Rattus norvegicus: one gene and its partners. The protein of the gene in region 3 interacts with the protein of the main gene of each other region in a pairwise test. Links are inferred from orthologs where the notes say so. Each region holds a gene or a part of one and is shown on either strand. Other genes may lie near its edges.

Region 1 (5,950 bases), on a different chromosome or scaffold from region 3:
GATGGAGAATCTTCCCCCCTCACTAAGGTAAACCTGAGTGGGACAAGGGCAAAGGTATCTCTCGTCTTGAGTTTGGGGATCCCAGCTTCCATGGGATCTGACCTGGAAGGGTCTGTAAACCAGGGCTCGAGGTTTTCCCTGCAAGGTAGAAAACTTCCAGAGATGGGAAGGGACACAAGCCTGCAAAACTGAGCCGAGCCTGCTCCCAACCACTCCCAGGACCATGAAGGTTTCTGGTCCTCTGTCCCACACTCAGATCTGTCTATTGGGGACATCTTCCAGGCTGATGGGATACAGCGTGCACTAAGGACCCTCTGTTTACTGCATAGATGGAGTCACACTTGGGATTGACAAAGTGCTAGGATGAAGTGTATATATATATATATATATATATATATATATATAATTTTGGTTAGCAAAGACTTGCTTATGATCATTTCATTCATATAGACTTCATTTTTTTCATTTTTCTTGTTTCTTTTTTTGGAGCTGGGGACCGAACCCAGGACCTTGCATTTGCTAGGCAAGTGCTCTACCACTGAGCTAACTCCCCAACCCCTAGACTTCATTTTTAAAAAAGATTTATTTATTTATTATATGTAAGTGCCCTGTAGCTGTCTTCAGACACACCAAAAGAGGGCATCAGATCCCATTACAGATGATTGTGAGTCACCATGTTGTTGCTGGGAATTGAACTCAGGACCTCTGGAAGAGCAGTCAGTGCCTTGACCACTGAGCCACCTCAGCCCCCTTTTTTTTTTTTTTTTTTTTTTTAATTTTTGTTTTACAGGAGAGGGTTTCTCTGTCTCACAGAGCTCTGCCTGCCTCTGCCTCCCACATGCTGGGATCAAGGTGTGCACCACCACATCCAGCACATCTACCTCGTTGGCCTTTGAATGTCATTTTATTCTTTTACAACTAAATAAAATTCCACTGTGCATTTGAAATGTTTAAGATTTATTTATTTATGTGAATACAGTTGCTCTCTTCAGACACACCAGAAGATAGCATCGGATCCCATTACAGATGGTTGTGAGCCACCATGTGGTTACTGGGAGTAACTGAGTGGTTACTCAGGTCCTCTGAAAGAGCAGTCAGTGCTCTTAACCACTCAACCATCTCTCCAGCCCCCCCGTTGTGGCTACTATTGTAGCCCCAGGGCTTCCCCCATTCTCCATTCCACCGCTTTGCTTTGCAAGGCTTCTCCTACAGGAGAAGGCAACTTCTCCTTTCACCTTGGTCTAGTTTCCAGCCATCGGTTTCTAATTGATTCAATTAGATGTGACCATGGGCTCCTTGCTGCATGAGCCTAGGGGAGGTTGCTCATCACGGACTGGCAGAGCCAAAGCATAAGGTCATACAAAGAATGGGTTGACTAGAGTAATGTAATTCAGAGTAGGGGTGTCGAGACCCTGGCTGCCAGGGGCGCGACAAGGACAACAGGTATATGGAGGAAGATGGCCATCCAGAGTTGGGGTTTGTCTGAAGACAAACCAGCTTAGGGTCACCATGCTAAGAGGGCTCTGGGAAATTTTACTCAACCTTCAGTGACTGTCCTCATAGGTAGGACAGGACTTTGTAGTTCTGAAATCTAGAATAACAGATTCAGAACACAGAGCAGCTCATTTGCAGCCATCCTCTTGCCTGAGTTGCCCCGAAGCCTGGAATACAGGCCTCTGCTATTATACCTGGCTGCAGTTAATTTATTTTCTAAGGCAGAGTCTCACAACAGCACCCTGAGTGGCTTTGGACTCAGATGCCTGCCTCTCCCCAGGTGCTGGGACCAAGGCCAACTACAGCTAATTTCTTTAGGCAAATAAAACAGGCAAACCTTGAAACCACTCTAAGCCTCAGGTCTGGTTCACCCTCCTGTTTTCTCTGATATTCACACTGATGGCTGACTCTACTGAGGGCAGAGTTCATGCCGGCATGAGGCTCATTTGGGAAGTGGCAGTGAAGGGAGAAACGTTAGGTCTCAATTACTTGACACATGCCTGGTGAGGCGGTCCAGATCTGTAATCTCAGCACAGGGAGGCTGAAGCAGGGCTGGTGGGAGTTCAAGGCCAGCCTGGGCTATCATTGAGACACACAGACAGAATTATATATAGGTAGTAATAACTACCCCTAAGTCTAAGCCAATATGGAAGCTGGTGAGAACCAGACCAGGAGGCATTAAGAACAAAAGGATTATGTTACTTTATAGACCTGGATTTCAGAAACAACACGTCTAGAACAAGGGCTGTTTTATTTTCCCACAAATCTTTTTAATATAAAACAAAGATAAAACACATCTCAATTCTGCAATCTGTCAGCATGTCTTCTTCCTACAAGGTAGATACTACATAGCAAAAAGTCTTTAAGAACATTTGGTTGGGAAAAATTTTCTCAGGCTTCTCACGGAAGCCCAGGCATGGCCAACCACTAGAGCAGTCCTTGTCTTTTCAGATCCTCGTATGTCTTCTTGTTCACAACATTTCCACTGGAGTCTTCATATTCTTCCTGAAAAGGAAAGGCCGTTAGCTACACACTGCCAGAAACCAGCATTAATTTAACATAACTTTCTCAACCAGAGCTCCAAGAGGAATCCAAAGCTGTTTCTAGATATCTAGAGTGGCACCAGTCGTGGCTCACCCTTATCCCTTCATAGTCTTTCAAGAAATGCCTTGTGTTTGAGACAAGGAAGCCTGACAGGGAAAGCCTGACAAGGAAACCAAAACAGCAGTGTGAAATGGTGCCCAAGCCTGGGTTTCTGCCCTTGGGCCACTGCAGGAGTTGACAGCGAGGCCAGTCTTGTGTTTCAGGTCTACATTACAGCTGGAAGGGCTCTTGATGCAAGAAAACAAAACTGCAATACTGACATAGAATAAGAGACTACTGTCGGTCTGCACAGGACCAGGACGTTACTGCCACCCCTTCAATGTATGGTAGCCATCTCTGAGACCTGTCAAGACCAACAAGGACAGATTCCCACTCTGAAGAGAGGACCATCTCTGACTTGATGCTTTCCTCAGAGACCTAAGAGGTGACAGACTTCTTTAGAAATCCCCAGGGTAGCACAAGAGACGGGGTGCCCTTATTCACAACTGCCTCAGTGGGAGAAGTGCCTGATGACAAAGACTTAAAGCATACATGCCGACAGGCTCACACACGTGTAGACACTGTCATTACACTTGCTAAAACAGAAAACTCTCTAGCCTCTCCTGTCTGCGTAGTGAGGGAGCCGTCACTTGACGCCACACCTAACACGATCCACATTAACACCCACCTCGGTGTCAGGCTGCCATCGTTCTGAAGCCTTCTGCAGTTTCAGCTTGGCCCACACTGCAGGATGAGAGGTAAGCAGCCATTAGGCCCTCAGTCCCCTGGGTACAGTGTTACATCATTCTCACCGCCCCGCTCCCCACAGGCTCCCGACTGTCAGCCCCCCAAACAGAATTTTGATTTAGAACAACCTGTAGATAAAGCCCCTCTGATTGAGAAATTACCACAGTCTCACGTTGCTGTGAAAGAAAAACTGTCTTAGGACAGAGACCAGAAATCAGCATGGAGGTTCACTCCTATAACCTCAGCACTTGGGAGATAGAGGAAGAAGGATCTGGCAGTTTAAGGCTAGCCTTGGCTACATACTGAGATTGAAGGCAGTTTGTGCTAAATGAGCAACCCTGGCTCAAAAACCAAACAAACGGTAAAAAGAAAGCTCTCTCAAAAGAAGCAGTTTGTACAAGAGTCTAGCGAAACTGTGGGATAAAATAAAAAGGATCATAGCTGAGAAGGCTTCTTAATACATGTCCTGGTTAGGGCTTTATTTTGTTTTTTAAGACGGTCTCTCTATACAGTCCTGGCTGTTCTTGTGCTCGGGTTGGCTTGGAACTCAGAGATCCTGCCTCTGCCACCTGAGATTGGGGAGTACTGGAGTGTGACTTAAGCTCAGCTTTGTCCTGGTTAGTTGTATCTGGGAAGAAGGAACTTCAATATGCCCCCATCATATTGTCTGTACTGCATTGTCTCGATTAGTGATTGACATGGGGTGCCTCCACTCACTGGGGGTGCTGCCACTCCCGGGCAAGATGTCTTGCAAGTTGTAAGAAAGCAGGCTGAGCAAACTGTGGCGAGCAAGCCTCTGATGGGTGTTCCTCCACGTCAGCTGCCCTGATTTCTGCCCTGAGTTCCTACCCTGACTTCCCTCAGTGACACACTGTGACCTCAAAGTGTAAGCCAGACAAACCCTCTCCTTCCCGGGTTGTTTTTGGTCATGTTTATCCTAGTAAGGAAGCAAACTAAACTATAAGCCACACTAGTACCCACACTGCCTTAAAACACAGCCAACAAATGCTGCCATGTTGCTTTCGTGTGCGTGCGTGCGTGCGTGCATGCATGCATGCATGTATGGGCTATGCATACATGTGTGCATCTCTGAATACTCATAATCGCCCATGATGACCTGAGTTTGATTCCCACAACACATGACGGAAGGGGATCCACACATGCATGACCATGCACACATGTGAGCACATACAAACAGTTGCACACAGTAAAGAAATGTAAGAAAAAATGTTTTTCAAGACAGGGAGGGCTTCTCTGTGTAGCCTTGGCTGTCCTGGAATTCACTCTGTAGACCAGGCAGGCCTGGAACTCAGATCTGCCTGCCTCTACCTGCTGTGTGCTAGAATTAAAGGTGCATTCCATCATCACCACCTGGCTCAGAAAAAACGTTTTTAAGCATTTGAAATGTAGATTTACGGGCTGGAGAGATGGCTCAGCAGTTAAGAGCACCCGACTGCTCTTCCAGAGGTCATGAGTTCAATTCCCAGCAACCACATGGTGGCTCACAACCATCTGTAAAGAGATCCGATGCCCTCTTCTGGTGTATTTGAAGACAGCTATGGTGTACTTATATATAATAAATGAATAAATCTTTAAAAAAAAAAAAAATGTAGATTTACAATTCATGCTATTACCTTGACTTAATTTCCTATCAACAAAGCAAAAAGGCAAAAATAAATCAGGAAGTTAATCAGGCCAGGTGTGGTGGCTCAGACCTATACATAGGAGTTTGAGGCAGGAGGATCATGACCAGTTCAAAGTGAGTTTCAGGGCAGTCTGGGCTACAAAGTCAGATCCTATCCCCCAAACAGGGTTCCAGGGGTGGGTCGGAAGGCAGAGCCCTACCACTTAGGCATGGAGACCAGAGCCTAGATTTCATTCTAGTGCCTGCATAGAGGCCAAGTGTGAGGCAGAAATGTCTCTGCCCGGGGTTGGAGATTTAGCTCAGTGGTAGAGCGCTTGCCTAGCAAGCACAAGGCCCTGGGTTCGGTCCCCAGCTCTGGGGGGAAAAAAAAAAGGTGGAGAAAAGGCTGGAGAGACGGCTCAGTGGTTAAGAGCACTGACTGCGGGGGTTGGGGATTTAGCTCAGTGGTAGAGCGCTTGCCTAGCAACCACAAGGCCCTGGGTTCGGTCCCCAGCTCCGAAAAAAAGAAAGAAAAAAAAAAAAAAAAAAAAAAAAAAAAAAAAAAAAAAAAAAGCACTGACTGCTCTTCCAGAGGTCCTGAGTTCAATTCCCAGCAACCACAACCACATGGTGGCTCACAACCATCTGTAATGGGATCTGATGCCCTCTTCTGGTGTGTCTGAAGACAGCTACAGTGTACTTATATATAATAATTAAAAAAAAAAAAAAAAAAAAAAGCACTGGCTGTTCTTCCAGAGGACCCAGGGTCCCCGAGCACCCACATGATGGTTCCTAAGTGCCCGTAACTCTAGTACCAGGGGATCTGATGCGCTCTTCTGCTCCATAGGATCCTGTATATACATGAGGCACAGAAACTCACATAAGTAGTGCACCACACATACTATATATTTTTTAAAATCAAATAATAATAATAAAACAGAGAGCCAGGTGGTGGTGGCACATACACATGCATGCATCCGCATACAATAACAGCACTCAGGA
Region 2 (6,319 bases), on a different chromosome or scaffold from region 3:
CTCACGGTACATTATAATAAATACCTGTGTAGACAGGCTGTCTAACTTTACCACACAACATTGGCTTTTGTGTCAGATCATGGTGGTGTCAGGGTAGCTACTGTCTATAAGAACTGCCTAAAGTTACATTATATGTCTCATACACATTATATGACATCTATTAAGGGAGGGGTAGTGGCTTCTGAGTACCTGCTAGCTGATCAATTTGCTTGGTAAAGGCTTGAGAACCATTGGTCTCTCTTAAAATGCCACGGTAATGACCGGAATACTTGGCAAGTTATCACGAAGTTAACATTTTGATTTCTCTTCTTTCTCACATTTATCTCCTCTCATCTTGTTTGCTTTACGACAGAAAATAGACATTCTTTTAAAAATTTTTATCCTTTGACAATTTAATAGATATCTAAAAAATAGGTTTCCGTGATCAGAAATTTCAGCTAGGGAAAGGAAGGACATGATGAAGACTTTAATTTTAATAAAGGTAGCAGGGCCATTCAGGTGGGAGAGGATCGTCTCAGAGAATGTTATTGTAACAACTGGACATACATGGGATAGAAGGTGAAGTTTGGAATCTTTTATCTTGCTGTGTTCGGGAATTATCTTGAAAAGAACCATTTTCCTATTGCATCAAATGACTGCAAACCTATGCGGTTTGGTATTCTGTCTCCGTGTCATTCTTGCTTCTTCGGGAGAGAGATGGTAGGGTGTGGGGCAATTATTTCCTCTCCCACTATTTTTGTATGGTGGACATTTATTGCTCCTTAAAGGGGCAGGTATGGATTAGAGATTGGCTCACTGTGAGGGCTGCAGAGAAGCACCTCATTGCATACGTTGCTGTTTCCCGTTTTCTAGGCCTTGTCTCCTTGAAACACTCCACCACCCCCTTCCTAAAAGTGGAGCCCTTTCTTCCTGGACACTATGAAGTTTTGGATTTAAAACCAAATGGCAAAGTCGCGTCTGTGGAAATGGTCAAATACCATCACTGTACGGATGAACCACTGCATGCCATCTATGACAGTGTGGAGAAACTCTTCCCAGGTGACTGGTGCCTATGACCAAACTCCAGAACTGCAGGCACTCCCTGACTGCATGGGGCCATTCACACCATTTTCAGTGATCTCGGTTTAAAGGTGTTGATTTGGAGGTGGCGGGAGCTCCTTGAGCGAGGGAGGGCCATCATATCATGGTGGGGTAGGACATTGCTTGCCTCCTCTCAGTTGGCTTAGCCTCAGCTTATCTGTGACGGCTCCGTTTACTCTCTGTGTTGCTAGGCTTTGAGATAGAGACCGTGAAAAACAATCTGCGTATCCTTTTTAACAACGCTATCAAGAAACGCTTGATGACTGACCGGAGGATTGGCTGCCTTTTATCAGGTGACGAGAGTTTAGAAAAACATACATCTTGCCGGTGTTTAAAGGCAATGGTTTGTAGCTGGCTCTGAGCTTTGAATTTAGTTAAAGGCCTACTATATAATTTCATCATTGTTTTTCTATAGACGTGTTTACAAGCTGCATTTGTTAAGGTTAGAGCTGGTTGGTACTCATTCCTTAGAGTCCTGTGTATTGATCTTTTAAACTTTAGATACAATTACTATTGTAAGGGGCCAATAAAATGTATTAACATACACTCATATGTATGTGAGCACACACACACCCACACACACACACTTCATTTCACTATGTGTCTATCATATTAAAGTTGATTTCAGTTTACAAAATTCAGAGATGTTAGTGGTCAAATGCCAATCCAGATGTTTAACAGGTGTGTGATTGTCTTTGCCCTGCTTGCCGTATGCCTGTAGCCATTGACTTTGTTCTTACGCTGTAGGAGGCCTGGACTCCAGCTTGGTTGCTGCCTCCCTGCTGAAGCAACTCAAGGAGGCCCAAGTGCCCTATGCTCTCCAGACATTTGCTATCGGCATGGAAGACAGCCCTGATCTACTGGCTGCCAGAAAGGTACAGTGCAGCCCGCCCATTGCATATTCAGAACTTAGTCCTGGTGTTGGGACGAACATCAAGTGAAGCTGTCCTAGTGTGCCTGTTGTTACCGTAATAAAGGCCATGACTGGAAGCAACAGGGTGAGGAAAGGATTTATGTGGCATACATATCCCCAGTCATACTTCTACTGAAGGAATCTGAGGTAAGAACTCAAGGCAGAAACCTGTAGGCAGGAACTGAAACAGAGAGCATGGAGGGACATCACTTATTTATTGGTTTTTGCCTCCTGGCTCCAGGCCCTTCAGTTCTCTCTTTGTTTCCTGTGTTCTCTTTCCTCAGCAGACTGTGACTCAAAATAGGTAAACCAAACAAACTCTTTCCTTCCCAAGTCTATTTTGGTCATGGTCTTTATGACGGCCATAGAGAACAGTCTAGGATAGAAATTAGTACCAGGATAACAGCTCAAATCTTGTTTTCTTCTGAAGCATTGCATTATGAATTGTAGGCAGAACAGACTTTGTACACATAATTCTATGTGCCGAAGACCGGGTCTTGCTCTGAAAAGACCTACAGTGATGAGAAAGGCCTAGAAGAGAATCCCAATGCAAATAGATATATGCTGGAAGACGGGAAAAGGCTATTAGAATACCATGCTGGGTATAAAATTAGTCATTTCAGTACAGCAAAAGAGAGATGACGTTCAAAAGGGAACCATACTGGACTAGGGAGAGATGAGGCAGGTTAGGTAATATAGGAGAGAGTCCTGTGCTGATTGGGGTCCTGGACTGTCAGTCTGTAGCTTTGAGTTGGAAAGAACCAGTAGGAGATTTACCTCCTGTGGTTGAGTCATGAGTGAGGGCCAGGCAGACTGCCTCCTGTCAAAGGGACCTGCACCTCCTTACTTAAGGGGCCTGCACCACCTCCTGTCAAAGGGACCTGCATGGCCTCTTGCTGCTATGGTCTGGAGAGACCTGGAGTGGTCTTCTGCTTTGTTTCTTTTCACCATGTTTACCTTGAGAGGATCTGGCTTGTTTCACTTTCTAAAGTAGCTCTTTAACAAAGATAGGGATTTCTCTTTACATTCAGGTGGCAAATTATATTGGAAGTGAGCATCATGAAGTCCTTTTTAACTCTGAAGAAGGCATTCAGTCCCTGGACGAAGTCATATTTTCCTTGGAAACTTATGATATTACGACAGTTCGAGCATCTGTAGGTAAGGGGTTTTATTGGCATGAAAAGTAGAAGGTTTAAGATGATTTCAGCTCAAGAGAGATTGTCTAAATATGAATATAAACAAGTTCCTATATTGTTAATAATACTATTATATTGTTAAGACCATTTAAGAGTGCCCTGAATTTCTTTTTGACTGGAGGAAGTGCTTAATGAATATAGTCAGATCATCTGAACACTGAATTTACAAGGTCAGCTTGGGCTATAGTCTTAATAAATGCTTTATAAAAATATTAACAGTTCACATTTGCAAAACACATGCTTCATGCTAGGTTCTGTCTCCCTACTTTATATGAATTATTTGTTACCTTAAAACTAACCCATCATAGCCAGTATTCCATCATCCAGGAGGCTGAGGCAGGAGAATTACACGACATTTGGCATATATGGCATGACCATAGAATGGATACATATTTTGACTCCTTTTTTTTTCCTCCCATTTTCTCTGTGTAAAATATCTTGGATGGTATAGTTGGGCCACAAAACATTATCCCTGAGTTTCACCAACCAAAGCTTGAAAACACTTGAGAGCTATAATGTGTATGACTGGACCTGGGCAGACTTTATTGCTGTCGTTATTGTAATAATAATAGGGTGTCAGCTGCTTACATAGCATTTACACTGTATCAGAAATTGTATGTGATCTAGAAGTGATTTAAAGTACAAGAACATCTCATAGGTGTTACAGATTCCGGTCTCTGCAGTAACGCAAGTCTCTCAGTGCAGTGTGACTTTGCCTCCTAGTGCATATAAAAGCTATGGCTACAGTGTGCTGTGGTCTTCTAGGTACCTCTACTTACTGCTATTGATCGTCTAAGCTATGGAAAATGATACGGTGTATTTGCTTAGAGCAGAATTGCCAGACCTTTAATTTGTAAGAAGTGAATTTCCTCTGAGGCACAGTAAAGCCAAGCACAGTAAAACAAGATAGGCCTGTATACGTGTGTAGATTGTGTGCAAAACTCCACCTTTTTATAAGGTGTTGGGGCATCAGAAGATGTGGGTAGATGACGGGAGGACCAGGAACCAATCCCAAATGAATACTGAGGGAACACTGTTCTTTATTAAATGGGGAAATGGGTCTGTACTGCAGTACATTTTCCTTAAGGAGTTCTCATGTAGATGTATTAAACACACCACTCTGTCACAGGGCTTACTAGTTGCCAGCTGTTACTGTCATGCAAGCAACACTTATCTGGTGAACACATCTAAGATTAGAAATGTACCACAAATCAGAGAGCCCAACGTTGTCGAACCTCTAAACTGTTACTTAGCTGAGTGGGTCTTTTTAAACATTCACTTTGCAGTGCAATAAAATCCCTTGAGTATTACAGTGATTTGTCCCTCGGAAGCTTCATCATTAAATACACACACATATAGGACGTATGTGGTTGAATTTTTATGAGGTGGAAGCAGAGTTGGGAAGAAGAAAGTCTCTCCTAAGACGGATAAAAGTGAGCTTGGAGGAGACATATGGTAGTGGAGAGAGATGTGAAACGGGTACCAAATAGACAGTATGATACTGTACATAGCCTTCTTAATCAAATGTGGGATTTGGAAATGAGGAGCGGAAATGGAAAAGAATGAAACAATTAAAAGTAAGCTACTTCTGTTAGTCAGTTTTCTGTTATTATAATGGATAACCCCAGAAGAGAAACTGCAGAAAATAAGGATTTTTTAAACTTAGAATTTTGAATGCCAAAAGTCAAACAGCATGGGACTTTGGTGGGTGGCATCAAGGAGCTGCATATGAGGAAGAGATCTCATAGTGATACCAGGGGCCAAAGAATAGAGAGCGGTTCTGTTTTAGACAGTTGAATAGGGAGAAATAATTTGATTTATCCTGGGAATTGTCTTAATGCCTTCTAAGGCAAGATGCTTGAGGACCCAAGTAACCCCAACCAGACCTTACCTCCACTTCACCACCGTGGATCACACCACCAACACATGAGTCCTTGGGAGACCAAACTGCATCCAAAGCATTGCACAGCCCATGCCTTACTTTTCTGTACTAGTGACAGTATACAAGCCATGGTATTCGGGTATTTAAGCGGTTCGATCTAGCAAAAAATTAATATAAAAAGTCTTGTTCTAAGAACATAATTTTGGAGCCTGTTTATAAAATAATACAGTGGATGCAAGGCTATTTTATTGCTTAAGTTGGATTGACTGCATGGAGACGGCTTGTGAGTGTGTGATCCTTTTGGAAGCTGCATTAATACCTCTATTAACTCAGCCCAACAAGACACTCCAACCTGCAGTTGTTTCTGAGGCTCTCCAAAACACAACACTGACATCAACATTAATTTCTGTTTCCTTTAAGGTATGTATTTAATTTCCAAGTATATTCGGAAGAACACAGACAGCGTGGTGATCTTCTCCGGAGAGGGGTCAGATGAGCTTACACAGGGCTATATATATTTCCACAAGGTCAGTACTCTGAAGTGAAAAGACGGCCAGGCTAAGTGAAGAAACGTCAGAATCACTGGCCTCTTTCTGTTCTGTCCTTATAATTTGTAACATTTTTAGAGGGCATGTGTGTTTGTGGGTAAGAATTGATGATATCTGTTTTCTGTGTGTGTATGTATGTATGTATGTATATATTTATTTTTTTCATTTATTTATCTATTTTTACGAGAAAGAAGGCTTTATAGTATCAGATACTTTTCATTCTTAAAATTAAACATGAAAATTGATTTTTGTCTGTCTGTCTGTCTGTCTGTCTATGTTGATTGATTTTTTTTCCAAGATAGGGTCTCATTATGTAGCTTTGGCTGTCCAGAAACTCACTATGTAGACCAGACTGGCCTCTGCTCCCCAAGAGCTGGGATTAAAGGCACCCTGTCTGTTGCCCAGGGCATCCATTTCATTTGTTTCCACACTAAGCACTCGGGAGGGTGGATGGGCCTCCAAACACTGCTGGCCTCTGAAGTTATTTACTCACACTCCTCATGCTCCTCTTAAGTTTTCTGGCGTACTCATTTTTTATTTTATATGTGAGAGGGGAAAATAAAGGCTGCCTGTGTGCCGAAGCTCGCCACTGACCTTCTTTTGTTTAATAGGCGCCTTCTCCTGAGAAGGCGGAGGAGGAGAGTGAGAGGCTCCTGAAGGAACTCTACCTGTTTGATGTCCTCCGTGCCGACCGCACTAC
Region 3 (6,319 bases):
GTCGCTAGGTGAACATTGTGGGATTGATGTCTGCTTGGTCTTCCCCTTCATCTATGGCAAAATAAAGACTTTACCAGTAAAACTTGGTTTATAACCAGGTACCACTGAACCTGGGTTCTCATATTATATCCTCCCATCTGATTTATCTTTCTAAACTGTTTCCAAAGTTCACAGAGCTGTTGCTTATACATGCCTGCCCACTATAGACTTCACAGGAGCACCAAAAAAAAAAAAAAGCACTAATAGTAAAAATTAGGTAAACCAGTCTCTAGGCTGGGAGCTAAATTGGAAGTTCTGGTCCTTCATTAATTACTCTAAGTATCTGGAAAAATATATATCCTCAGGAAAAGAAAGACAGATGGAGTTCCTCATGCATCCAGATAATTTTGTTCAATTTCCTAGTTCACCTGCTATAGTCAATATTTGCACATTCAACACATACTTATTGAATGGGTCACTAAGATTCATTCCCACCCTAGAATCCAAGCGTGGGAGACAGGTATTAAATGATGCCACCAACACTAATAAAATAACAACAGCGACTAGTACCATAGGAACAGCTACTAGTACCATAGGAAAACTCAGCAATGAAGAGAAATCCAAGAGGAGAACCTGAAAAAGTCCCTTGAGCTACAGATGTACTCAGTCGGCAGAGTACTTGCCTAGCATGCATGAGGCCCTGAGCTTTAGAGCTGGTATCACATAAACTGGGCATGATGGCACACACCTATAATTCCAGCACTCAGAAGGTAAAAGGAGGATCAGAAGTTCAAGGCATCTTTGACTACATTTCTAATTTTAGGCTAGCCTGGGACACATAAGATTCACTGTAAAAAAAAATTTTTTTTTTGAGGACTGTAGGATGAATATGAGAGAGGGGTCCTGGAGAAGAGTGTTGAAGGGAGAGGGAAAAGTCTGGAAACAGGATGTTAGAACAAGTCCAATAAAGCCAGAGCACACCAGGCAAGGTAACACTAGGAGGCAGAAACGACCCAGTCATGCAGATCCTTGTATGGAAAAAATGAAGTGCTTTTAACTTGGTCCCGTGACGTGAAAAATAAAGATTTGTAAGCACTCCACAGTTTCATTTCGTTTTGAAAGTATCTGATGGCCGTGTGGAAAATGGCTTAGAGAGACAACAGCAGGACCATATGGTTCGAAAACTTGCAGGGCAGCATGCCAAGCGCAAAGGTACTTGATACTATACAGAGATAAACAAGAACATGTGGTGTAGGGAGGAAATTCTATAGACGCGATGACTGATTGAATATGAGGAGTGAACAGTGATATCAGGCAGCATTTGGGTTTAGAAGTCTGGAGTTCAAAAGCTGGAGAAAGCTGGAGGATCAAAAGCTGCAGCTGGATGGATATTGCCTGGGAAGTGTGCAGTGAGCCTAGGATAGAACACCAACTGATTTTTAACATTTAAAGCTTGTTAGACTGGGAAATCATGAGAAAGGGAAACTGGAAGTACGTGGGTTGAGAGAACGATGGAGGTAAGGCTACCTTAAGGGTGCAGTAATGGTTGTCCATGGAATCTAAGCCATGTAAGACAAGCCGTGAAGACAGACACTTATGGATAAAACAGAGAGAGTCGATGTTGATGAATTGATTAGTTTCTTGAAACAGGGTCTGTCTCTCCAGGTAGCTCTGGCAGCCCTGGAACTTACTTTGTAGACCAGGCTAGCCACAGACTCATACAGATCATGCCTGCCTGATTCTCTGAGTGCTGGGATTAGAGCCAGGCACCACCATGCCCAGGATGAACACAAATGTTCACTGAGATCCAACAGTGCTGCAGCAGGGAGCAAGTGAACTTGGAACACAAAGTCATTTCGGAAATGATACATTTTCTGGGAATGATGAAATTCCATATGTTGTTGAAAATGAGTGGTAAAAGCTATAAGTCATTGGAAACATAGAAAATGAGGAGCCAAGAAACCAGGATATAGATTGTTCACCAGGAAAGAAGCTGTGTGCGTGCACGCATGAACACACACACACACACACACACACACACACACACACACACATACACACACACACACACTGCAAGTGCAGCAACTTTCAATTTTAGTGCTTTGTACATTGTTCATCATGTACTCATGTACTGTTTCTTTTTTTTTTTTTATGTACTGTTTCTTTTATGTGGTCTTGGCAAAAGGAGTAGTTTTGATTTTTAAAGGATAGGTCTCCCTGGTCTAAGAGCATTCTTCAGTAGATACTGATTTGCCAGTCTAGGAAAGTACTGTTAGTATTCATTTTAGGATGTTTGATGGACTCCACAACATTATTTATTAGAGCACAGGTTATCATCCAAGCACTGAAAACAAAACCAACCGTCCTACACCATTAAACTAGTTGGGAAAGAAGGAACAAGCCCCCCAAAGAGCTTTATTTGGTAGAACTGAATGTTGATGGTAAGCAGCCATTTGTGTGGAATTGCCCAAGGTATGTGGTGTGGTGTAAGCCCATCCCCAAATGCTAGTCTCAGTAGTAATCGTGGTGATGATTATGGAGGTTTCCAGGACAACAAGATACAACTGCAACAAAACCTTTCCTTGGAGTTTCTAAAGCTGCATCAGTTTCTGCACAACAAAGAAAAGGACATTCTCAATGATCTCCGGGATGAGGGGAAAGTCTTGAATGAGGAGATGGATGCGAATCTGAACCAGATTCAGGAGCAGTGTCTCCTTGCCAAAGACATGCTGGCGAACATTCAGGCACGGATGGAACAGCAGAACTCCTTCGACTTCCTCACAGTGAGATTCTGAACACAATTGATTATGGGTATACTTGGAAGGAGGAAAGAGAAACTGGGAATGGGGGGTGGGTAGTGATGGAAGGAAAGCAAATCTTAACCAAGCTCAACCCACTCCAACCATATCCTGCCCTATCCAACCCAACCCAACCCAACCCAACCCAACCCAATACAACCCAACCCAACCCAACCCAACCCAACCCAACCCAATACAACCCAACCCAACCCAATACAACCCAACCCAACCCAACCCAACCCAACCCAACCCAACCCAACCCAATACAACCCAACCCAACCCAATACAACCCAATACAACCCAACCCAACCCAACCCAATACAACCCAACCCAACCCAACCCAACCCAACCCAACCCAACCCAACCCAATACAACCCAACCCAACCCAACCCAACCCAATACAACCCAACCCAACCCAACCCAATACAACCCAACCCAACCCAACCCAACCCAATACAACCCAACCCAACCCAACCCAACCCAATCCAATACAACCCAACCCAACCCAACCCAACCCAACTAACTGGAGTGCTTTTTAGGTTCCGTGGGAGATAAGTAGCGGCTTTTACTTTGTTCAGTGGAAGCTTTACTTTCATCTTCCTATGAAACACAATAGTACAGTTTTGCTACATGAATCAGTGTTTTCTTACTTTCCCATAAAGAACATAGAAGATTTATTTTTCAAAAATAAGTCTCTTATAGTATTTGTTGAGTTTTGGTCTTGCTGAAATTATAAACTGAGCTATCGAAAAAGCTTTTTGTCAAACTTTGCTGCCTGAAGTCTGACTTTTATAGCAGCATTGGTGATCACATCAGCACTCAGAAGTTTGGTTACCCTTGGCCCTGGGATCGCTCCTGATCTTTTCTTGTTGGAGTATTTGGAAGCACTCACTTTTTAATAAGTTGACCTTAACTGTGGGCTTCCTAGCTCTTCTCTTGTTTCCTATGAGAGTTGGAAGTATAGAAAATCAGAAGGTTAGCAAATGAGAGGTCAGTTTATCAAGGGTTAGACTGGGATGCTAATTAGCAAAGCCTGTAGAGAATGAAAACTGTTGTTGGTGATGGACTGGGGACCCTCTCTAAAGGAAGCCAATATTGATGATCAAACCTGGATGGTTACCAGTATAACCAGAGAGATTTCTAGAGATGATGAGCAGGCATCTGACTTCTCTGTTTCTTCTTTTCTCTTTTAGGACATCACAAAGCTCCTAGAGAAGTAAGTGTTTCTCCATGGTACTCTATCCCCTCCTTCCACCACTGGAGGATGTCTCAAAATAAACTATTTGTGTGTTCCTTACAGCATGGAGAAAGGAATGAAGACACTTGTACCCAGACAGCTTATCTCCAAAAAGCTGAGCCTAGGTCGCTTCAAAGGTCCTATCCAGTATACCATCTGGAGGGAAATGCAGTCCATTCTCTCTCCAGGTACAGTGGGGATGAGCTATTGATTCCTATGGCCCATAATCTATATTTCATCTGTGACCAGGGTTTTTTAGTTTGAGACAGGAAGGAGACAGAGTTGGGTAGAGTTTGGTCACAAAATTTTTTTCTTTTTCTCCTGCTGCTATGATTTAAGAATATGTGTCTTTGAACTAATAACATATAAAAGTCTGATATTAGAATTACTCCTCAGCCTATGATTTTGTTTGATCTATAAGGTGTGGAAGTAGTCACAATTTTATCCTGTTTTGCTACATCAGCTATATGAATTCTTGCAAATATCAAAGGTCTGAACAGGACAAAATAACACAAGTGGTATTATTTCAAGAAAAAGAAATAATAGTCTAGATAAGATGTGTATAAAATAAGAATTTAGATAGCTTTTACAAAATTTGTATAGATAATATTATTGTTTGTTATTAACCTAGTTAAAATCGTAAATATATCCCTGTTACATTTTTCAGGTGACTAACACTGAAAGAAACTGAAGTATAATCAATAGGGCAGAATCTGCCTATTTTACCTAAATATTCCCAGTGTACATGCTGAGTTTTGACAAACATGGAAATATCTCTGTGATCAGGATATAGATGGGGGTTGGAGAGTTGGCTTAGCACTGAGCAAACACAAGGACCCGAGTTTGAATCCTTAGTGCCTATGTAAAAAGCCAGGCATGGTGGCATACGACTGTAGCTCCAGCACTAGGGATGAGGTTGTAGGAAAACATAGCTCTGACAAGACCTGCAGGCTGGACAGTCTTGCGTGAATTCCAGATTCAGCAAGAAACCTGTTCAAAAACTAAGATACAGAATGATGAGGAAGATACTTAAAGTAGACCTCTGACCTCCACATGCACATGTATGGGCATACCTGTACACACACACACACGCCCACACACACACACTTCAAAGTTTCCACAAGTCTCTTTACAGTTAGTTCTTTCTGTGTAGCTCCAGTCCCTCCTGCTGGCTAATCTGCTTTATTTCACTTTTGATACATCTTTGCAAATGTTTGATTTAATGTAGATCACACATTACTGTATTGTGCGTCTCGACTCCTGTACAAAGCACGGTGCTTCCTTTGATTCACCTTTGTTGCACGTAGCAATAATTTGTTTAATGAATATATCATAATGTGTTTATCTATTCTCCAGGCTGATGAGCTTTTAGATCACACTTCAGGGATATTATAAATAGGGTTGTGTGGATCTGTGGGGTTGAAGATATGCCATTTAATTTTATAAGAAACTATCGATGCTTTTTCTTCCTCAAGTGGTTGAAAGCCTCTCCACGTGCTTCTTGGCCATTCCTAAGATATATTTAATCTTTTGACCATACTTTTGTTGATTGCTTTAACATTAAATTATAAGTGGACAATCCTTTATTAGCCATGCTTGTTAAAAAGGATTTAAAGAAACAAAACAAGACAGGACAAAACAGTGTGCCTGTGTATAAGTTGGTTTCCCTAAGTGCGGCTTTCAACAGAGGCCAGAAAAAGGTACTCGTTCCCCTGGTTCTGGAGATATGGGCAGTTGTAAGTTGTCTGATATGGGTGCTAGAAACAGAGCAAGAAGAAGTACTACGTGCTCTTAAGCTCTGAGCCATCTTTCCAGCCACAAGTTACTTTTTGGACGGTTTCTTTTGTTTGTTTGTCTGTTTGTTTGTTTTGGATATAGAATCTCATGTAGCCCAGGCTGGCCAAGAGTGCTTACGTAGCCAGAAGTGATCTTGAGCCCCTAATCCTGTTGTTTATACCTTCAAAGTGTTAGGATTATAGGCATTTACCTGACTTAAAACATTAAACAGCAGCCACAGCAACAGCAACAGCAAAATCAGGATCTCATTATATTGCTCAGGCCGGCCTTGAACTTAGGATCTTTCTGCTTCAACCTACTGAGTACCAGAATTACAGGTGTGTACTACTGCTCCAACTGAATTTTAATTGACACATTTTTGTATATATTTATAGGATACAATATGATATCCAATGCACGTATGCAACATATAAAAATTAAACCATAGTAAACAGAATTTATATCTCCTCAAACATTTATCACTTTTTGAGCTCTTTTAGTTGTATAAAAATATATAATAAAACCTATG
Region 4 (6,319 bases), on a different chromosome or scaffold from region 3:
CTGTAACTCCAGCTCCAGGGGATCTGATACCTCTGGCTTCTATGGATGCCTGCACATATATACCTCCACCTCTCTCTCTCTCTCTCTCTCTCTCTCTCTCTCTCTCTCTCTCTCTCTCTCTCACGCACGCACACACACACACTTTTTAATAAATTCAATTATGATTTATAATAATTTAAATGATTTATAATAAATTGAACAATGATTTATAATATATCAAACAATAATTTATAATAAATTAAATAATACTTTATAATAAAATTAATACTCAAAAGATTATACAACATAATTAAAAGAAACAATTATTTGGGTCAGAACCTTTGCCTGGGGTTAAAATAAAATGAAGAAACAAAACAATAGAGAAACAAGGGGAAACCTGATTCTGTATGCATGTACTGAAATACTGTATGGAGCCATATTAATATGAACACTTAATGGATCATCAAAATAAGATGAAACCCCACAAACCCTGGACCTGCAGTGGCAGTTTCTTACAGTAACAGGCACACCAAGCACCCCTAAGCCCTTCAGCTCTGTACCTCAGTTTCTTCAGATCTGTGACCCATCGCTTTCCCATCCTTTTCATGTAATTGATTTCTTCCTCCTCCTCGATAATCTCTCGGATCTTATGCTTCATGTCTGGGTCCTTTACCACCACAAACGTCCAGGGCTCTGTATGGGCTCCACTTGGAGCTGTTCCTGTTACCCATTAAATTAAAATAAGTGTGAGACTGCAGAGGAATGCAAAACTGTTCATTCTAAGAGGAAATACAATAGCAGGTATTATGCTGATGTATGTCTATAAGCCCATTCAGCAGTTGGGAGGCTGAGGCAGGAGGATTGTAAGTTAGACTTTGTGTCAAAATGCTATAAGGAGGAAGGAGGGCAGACAGAAAGAGGTGAAAGAGGAGCAGGAGGAGCAGGGAAGGAGAGGGGAGAGGGGAAGAAGAAGTGGGAGGGGAAGGGGAGAGGAAAGGGAAGGGGAGGGGGAGGAGAGGGGAGGGGGAGGAGGGGAAATTGAGGGGGAGGGGAAGGAGGGGAAGGGTGAGGAGGTAAAGGGGAGGGGGAGGAATAATTTAACATTTAACTCAAACTCACAGGTGTATATAGGGTGGGGATTATTGACTTGCCATTTAGGCAAAGGGTACAACTATCCAAGGCATTTGTATTCTTGACTGAAACAAAGTATTCTTGGTGTCTTTTGAATTAAAGATGGCTTTCAGTGGGTATGCAACAAGCTCCACACATGAACATAAATGAGGCAGAGTAAGAAAACAGAAAAAAAAAAAACCTAGAGAGTGTGGCATCCTTGTTCTTAGTTTCCCCTGGGTGGAGATATTAGTTTACATTTAAAATGTATTTATCTTGCTTTAGTGTACTTTACAAATCCACAGAAGGAAACCTTGCTATTGGGCTTGTTCAGCTAATTATTGTACTGGAGTGTCTTGGAGTTTGTGACAAACATATAAATCTGACCTGAATGTGGAAGAAGAAACATGCTTTGAGTAAGAGAGAGTTGTTTCTCCTGCAATGTATACTAACATATTCAGAATTTTTAGCTTTAAACAAAATTCAAAAAATACTGTATTATTTTAAATGATCATCATATCTGTTTTCCAAGAAATAAAGAACCAAAACATAGGAAGTAGAAATGCATGTTTCTGGAAGTCAGTAGCAACGAGAAAGCCTTTGTGGTGGTTTGTACAATGCTTGGTCCAGGAAGTGGCACTATTAGGAGGTGTGAACTTGTTGGAGGAAGCGTGTCACTGTGGGGTGGGGCTTTGAGACCCTCCTCCTAACTGCCTGAGGACAGTCTTCTGTTTGCCTTTGGAACAAGGTGTAGAACTCTCAGCTCCTCCAGTGCCATGCCTGTCTCCACACTGCCATACTCCCATCTTGGTAATAGTGGACTGAACCTCTGAAACTGTAAGCCAGCCTCAACTAAATGTTATTCTCTATAAGAGTTGAGTTGCCATGGTCATGGTGTCTGTTCACAGCAGTAAAACCCAAACTACAATGCCTTCATAGATAAACACACCCCTCTAGCTTTGTATACATATTTGGACTCAGTGCTGTCTCAACACTGTATCTTTCACAGCATCTGACATTCTGAAAGGCTCAGCATGCAGTTACCAACCTGCTGCTTTGATGACATTGTCAATCACTTCCATCGGGACTGGCTCGCTGCTGATAAATCTGATGGAGCGTCTCTTACTGAGGAGCTCATAGAATTCCTGGGATCTCATCCTCATTTCCTGCTCTGGGTATCGGGTGTGGGAGAATAGGATGTGTTCCACACTCTCCTCCGACTCTTGCCATTCCTCAGTATCTGCAAACAAGAGCCAGGAGCATAGCAAACTCAGTTATCTCCCTGGTTATAAGGTCACTTGGGGTCAGAGAAGCAAAGTTTCAGAAAAGTTTATATGGTGATGCAAGGTCAAACCAATCAATCAAATTTATTAAAGCAAAAAAAAAAAACTTAAAGAGTAGATCTGTAAAATTTTGACCACTACCATGGTCATTCTTCAGACTCTAGATCTGTTACAAATTAAAACAAAAGATATTACAAAATGAACAAGTGGAAGTTCTATTAAATGGTAGAATAAATTATTTGACACAATCCCCCATTCAGGTCACCAAATAAGGTGCTTTTGACTTTGTCAAAGCATTGGGCTAACAACAAAGTAAGAAATTCCAAAGCTAAAAACAAAGGGAAAATCTGAACCTAGAGAGGTGATCACAGAGGCTCGTGTGTCCTGCTTACATCTGCCTGTTCCTACAGGCCCAGTCCCCATTTTAATGCTTGAGCTATCAAAGGCAACCCTCACACACAATAGGAAGTTGAATCAGCCCAGACCATCAAGTTACATCCTTTGGGAAAGTGTGCATTGTAAAGATGTCATCGTTCAGGGACTTAGGATATTCTTGGTTCCTCTTCTAACTCAGTGTTTCTTCTTGGAAGCACCCAAGTTGTCTAGCAGAAGAAAATGACAATATGTAAAGAATTTTAGAAACAATTTCCAAGAACTCACCAATGTAATCCTGTATCCAAGAGAATAGAATATCTTGAGTTAAATTAATAAGATCAATGCTTAGCAATAAAATTAGGTGTGCCAGTGCTCCAAGAATTCACAGAAGAGCAAACAACTGTAACACTATGCTTAGAGAAGAAAAAGAGATATAAAACTCTCTAGAGATTATTATACTCTAACTAGAATTATTTAGATTAAATTACTGGTAAGAAAAAATAAAAATCTAGATTAGCAAAGAGCAAAAGACAGACCACAAAGATGAAAGATAAAGAAAAACCAGAGCCAGTTTACTTAGGACCATGGAAAAAAGCAAAGAAAGAAATAAGTTTTAGAGTTACAATGGCTTCCATATGGTGGGGATGAGGGTGTGAAGGAAATGGAGTTTGCAGAGAAAGCAGGACGACAAAGTGTAGCTGAAAAGGTCTTTAGAAGGGAAAGAGGCATACCCTGAGTGCTAGCCTGCTGTATAAATGGTGGGGACCTGGAGATAACATGGAAGATTAAATGTGGCTGTTCTGCATGGATAAGTCAGAACACAGAAGAAAGCAGGAGCTCATGGGCCTGAACTTCAGAGTGCATAGTTCCATGAACTTAGTTCCCTCAAAGTTCTCAAAAATCATTAAGTGGCATCAGTCTCCTGAAAGCATGTAAAGTGCTGTGTGTGTGTGTGTGTGTGTGTGAGAGAGAGAGAGAGAGAGAGAGAGAGAGAGAGAGAGAGAGAGAGAGACAGAGAGAGAGAGAGACAGAGAGAGAGAGAGACAGAGAGAGAGAGACAGAGAGAGAGAGAGACAGAGAGAGAGAGAGAGAGAGACAGAGAACAACCTTGGATGTCCTTCTTCTTTTTTGGAGATAGGTTTTCTTTACTGGCATGGACACTATGTAGACTAGGGTGGCTTCAGTGAGCTTCAGGAATTCATTTGTCCCTGCTTTGCCAGCTCATACCACAATACCTAAGATTCAGACTGCTTTTAAACCTTTGCTGTTGTTTTGTGTTTATTGGTTGGATGTTGTTTGATTGTTTGGTAGTGGGTTCTGTTGTTTCATTGGTTTGTTTTCCAATAGGGCAAGCTTGGCTGACACGTGAGTTACACATATGCTACATATACATCAGCTATAAGAAGCAAAGTGTGGAAAAGCAAGTCAACTCCCTGACAATGGCTATCTTAGAGACAGTGAATGGATGAACAATTTTCTCCTGCAGGCATGTGCTCAGGAGATCCCTGTAGCTGTGGTTTTTACCATGGATGGTGGTGATGATATTCTGGGCTGAGGAAAGAGGGATCATTTTGTATGTGTGTTGACTGGGGAAATTTTTTCCAATGTCTTAATTACATAGGTGCAAAACATGAAATATCATGAATGTATAAAACAAGTTACATTTATTAACACTCCCATATCCTTCCTGGATATTAAAATGGGCAATTTGCTCAATAATATCTTATTGAGAATTTATGAATAAAATGAGCATGAGTTCTATACCTTTACCGTTTATATATGTAAACAAACCAGCAAGTGTGTTTAAGGATAGAATAGTAAACTGTAATCATCCCGATGAAGTAGATTGGGCTTTTTATGAAGTTATAGAGATTTGGAGGAATGATCCAGATAAGGAAAACAGGGGAGGGAGTGGGGGGTCTGAGACTGTGAAGGAACATGGGCAGTCAGGGTCTGAAGCAGATAAATGGCAGGATGGCTCAATTAGTAAAAATGATTGCCACCAAGACTGACAAGCTGAGTTCAGTCCCAGGAACTCATATGGTGGGAGGAGAGTGCCGAGTCCTCAATTTCTCCTCTGACTTACATACATGCATGACATGGCATATACATGCAAACACATACACACAAAATCACAAAATTAGTAGAAAGAAAGTGAAGGTTGCTTGGTATCTAATAATGTTTTCAATGAATAAAACTACTGAATCTTATAATACATGTTTTTAATAGTCTGTTGGGAAAAAACGACAGTGGAAAAGATGTGTTTCAGGCCAGTCTTAGCAGCTGAAAGGAACCATAGCTGGGTCTTACTGGACAAGGGATGAGAGGCCTTTCACAGAATGTGGAGTAGTCCAAAAGCCAGGGTGAATGAGCCCATAGAATGTGCTTCTATGTGGATTAAGGTTTATTGCCAAAGAAAACTATCCATGGGAAATAAGCAGAGGACTCTAACATGCTTGTGGAGGGATGTCTTAGACAGAGACAAGAATGCTAAAGAAAGGCCACACATGAACTGTGCCCTATCTTATACCAGGATGATGTTGACTTGACCCATCAGGGAAGCAGAAAGAGCAACAGATTCCCAAAGCATCATGGTGACAAAACCCAGGAGACTTGCTTCCTGGCAGAGAAGGAAAAGGGTCCTCTCTGTTTCTGGTTTTGGCACCTGGGTAGTGAGTGGACCATTTCCTGAGATAAGGAAGACTGCAGAGACAGCAGTGGGGGGCTAGCAAGGACCTCTAAAAACAAGCAGCGCCACTTCTCCCTGCTCTTGAACTCCTGACTGCTCCCAGGAATGTGGCTTTGGAAGAGAGAAAATCTATCTCTGAACTTCTCTTTCCTTCCTCCTTTGTTCTAGACTTTTCTGTAGGAGAGGCTACCCAGAAAACAGCCCTATGCTTGGACCCTGGAAACAGACTGCCAGAGTCCTACCTGCCTAGGTGTGCAGTACCCTACCACGGCCTGGGTCTTCTGCAATGGAGGTAATGATAATGCCTACCTCATTGTATTACCATGAAGATGAAGGGGCCTACTCTGTATATGACATGGCACCAGCTGGGTCCACTGCATGCTATGTGAGTGTGTTGTGGTCCCAAGGCTCTTCAACCATGTCATCTTCTTTTTGTAGTACATCTCTCTACTGTGTCCCTCTTATCTTTAGGTCTTTCCTAAGTTCTACCCTCAGTCTTCTGTCTCACAGTACCCACTTGGTGACGTCATTAGTTCTCTAACTTCTGAGTGCCACCTCAAGCTGATGCCAGAGTCTCTCATCTAACATTGTGAATACCTTAAATGCAGCACATCCTCATAGTGTTTTCTAAACTGGATCTTCCCACCCTTGTTCATTGGTGACAGTGACTCAACCACTCCTTCCATCTTCCCTGATATCTAAAGCTCAGCGCTCTTCTTCACTGTGACTCAAGTATCCACTACCCTCCCACCAACGCATCGTTCCACATCAAATCTTAGAACAGACATCATCAATGTTAAGGAAAGTGCTTCTCTGTGGTAAAGGAAGCACTTCCCAAGTGGGACCAGACAGTGCCGTATTTACATAGTCTGGGAAGTTTTGA

The links.
Region 1: the proteins of Trim69 (region 3) and Sf3a3 interact in binary tests that used the Homo sapiens proteins (3 or more experiments, as listed by UniProt). The two-hybrid records come from large-scale screens. The link is inferred for Rattus norvegicus from reciprocal best matches to the Homo sapiens genes TRIM69 and SF3A3.
Region 2: the proteins of Trim69 (region 3) and Asns interact in binary tests that used the Homo sapiens proteins (3 or more experiments, as listed by UniProt). The two-hybrid records come from large-scale screens. The link is inferred for Rattus norvegicus from reciprocal best matches to the Homo sapiens genes TRIM69 and ASNS.
Region 4: the proteins of Trim69 (region 3) and Iyd interact in binary tests that used the Homo sapiens proteins (3 or more experiments, as listed by UniProt). The two-hybrid records come from large-scale screens. The link is inferred for Rattus norvegicus from reciprocal best matches to the Homo sapiens genes TRIM69 and IYD.

The regions. Positions count from the first base shown.
Region 1 is NC_086023.1:142,268,330-142,274,279, reverse strand, and holds the end of Sf3a3 (splicing factor 3A subunit 3), read right to left. Parts: intron 3,322-5,950; coding exon 3,266-3,321; intron 2,500-3,265; coding exon 2,422-2,499; 3' UTR 2,243-2,421; downstream 1-2,242. UniProt on the Homo sapiens protein: Component of the 17S U2 SnRNP complex of the spliceosome, a large ribonucleoprotein complex that removes introns from transcribed pre-mRNAs.
Region 2 is NC_086022.1:36,754,174-36,760,492, reverse strand, and holds part of Asns (asparagine synthetase [glutamine-hydrolyzing]), read left to right. Parts: intron 1-852; coding exon 853-1,038; intron 1,039-1,271; coding exon 1,272-1,373; intron 1,374-1,827; coding exon 1,828-1,955; intron 1,956-3,024; coding exon 3,025-3,151; intron 3,152-5,491; coding exon 5,492-5,598; intron 5,599-6,230; coding exon 6,231-6,319.
Region 3 is NC_086021.1:129,576,966-129,583,284, forward strand, and holds part of Trim69 (E3 ubiquitin-protein ligase TRIM69), read left to right. Parts: exon of another isoform or gene 1-82; intron 83-2,528; coding exon 2,529-2,762; intron 2,763-3,970; coding exon 3,971-3,993; intron 3,994-4,077; coding exon 4,078-4,202; intron 4,203-6,319.
Region 4 is NC_086019.1:42,412,061-42,418,379, reverse strand, and holds part of Iyd (iodotyrosine deiodinase 1), read right to left. Parts: intron 2,330-6,319; coding exon 2,138-2,329; intron 700-2,137; coding exon 540-699; intron 1-539. UniProt on the Homo sapiens protein: Catalyzes the dehalogenation of halotyrosines such as 3-bromo-L-tyrosine, 3-chloro-L-tyrosine, 3-iodo-L-tyrosine and 3,5-diiodo-L-tyrosine.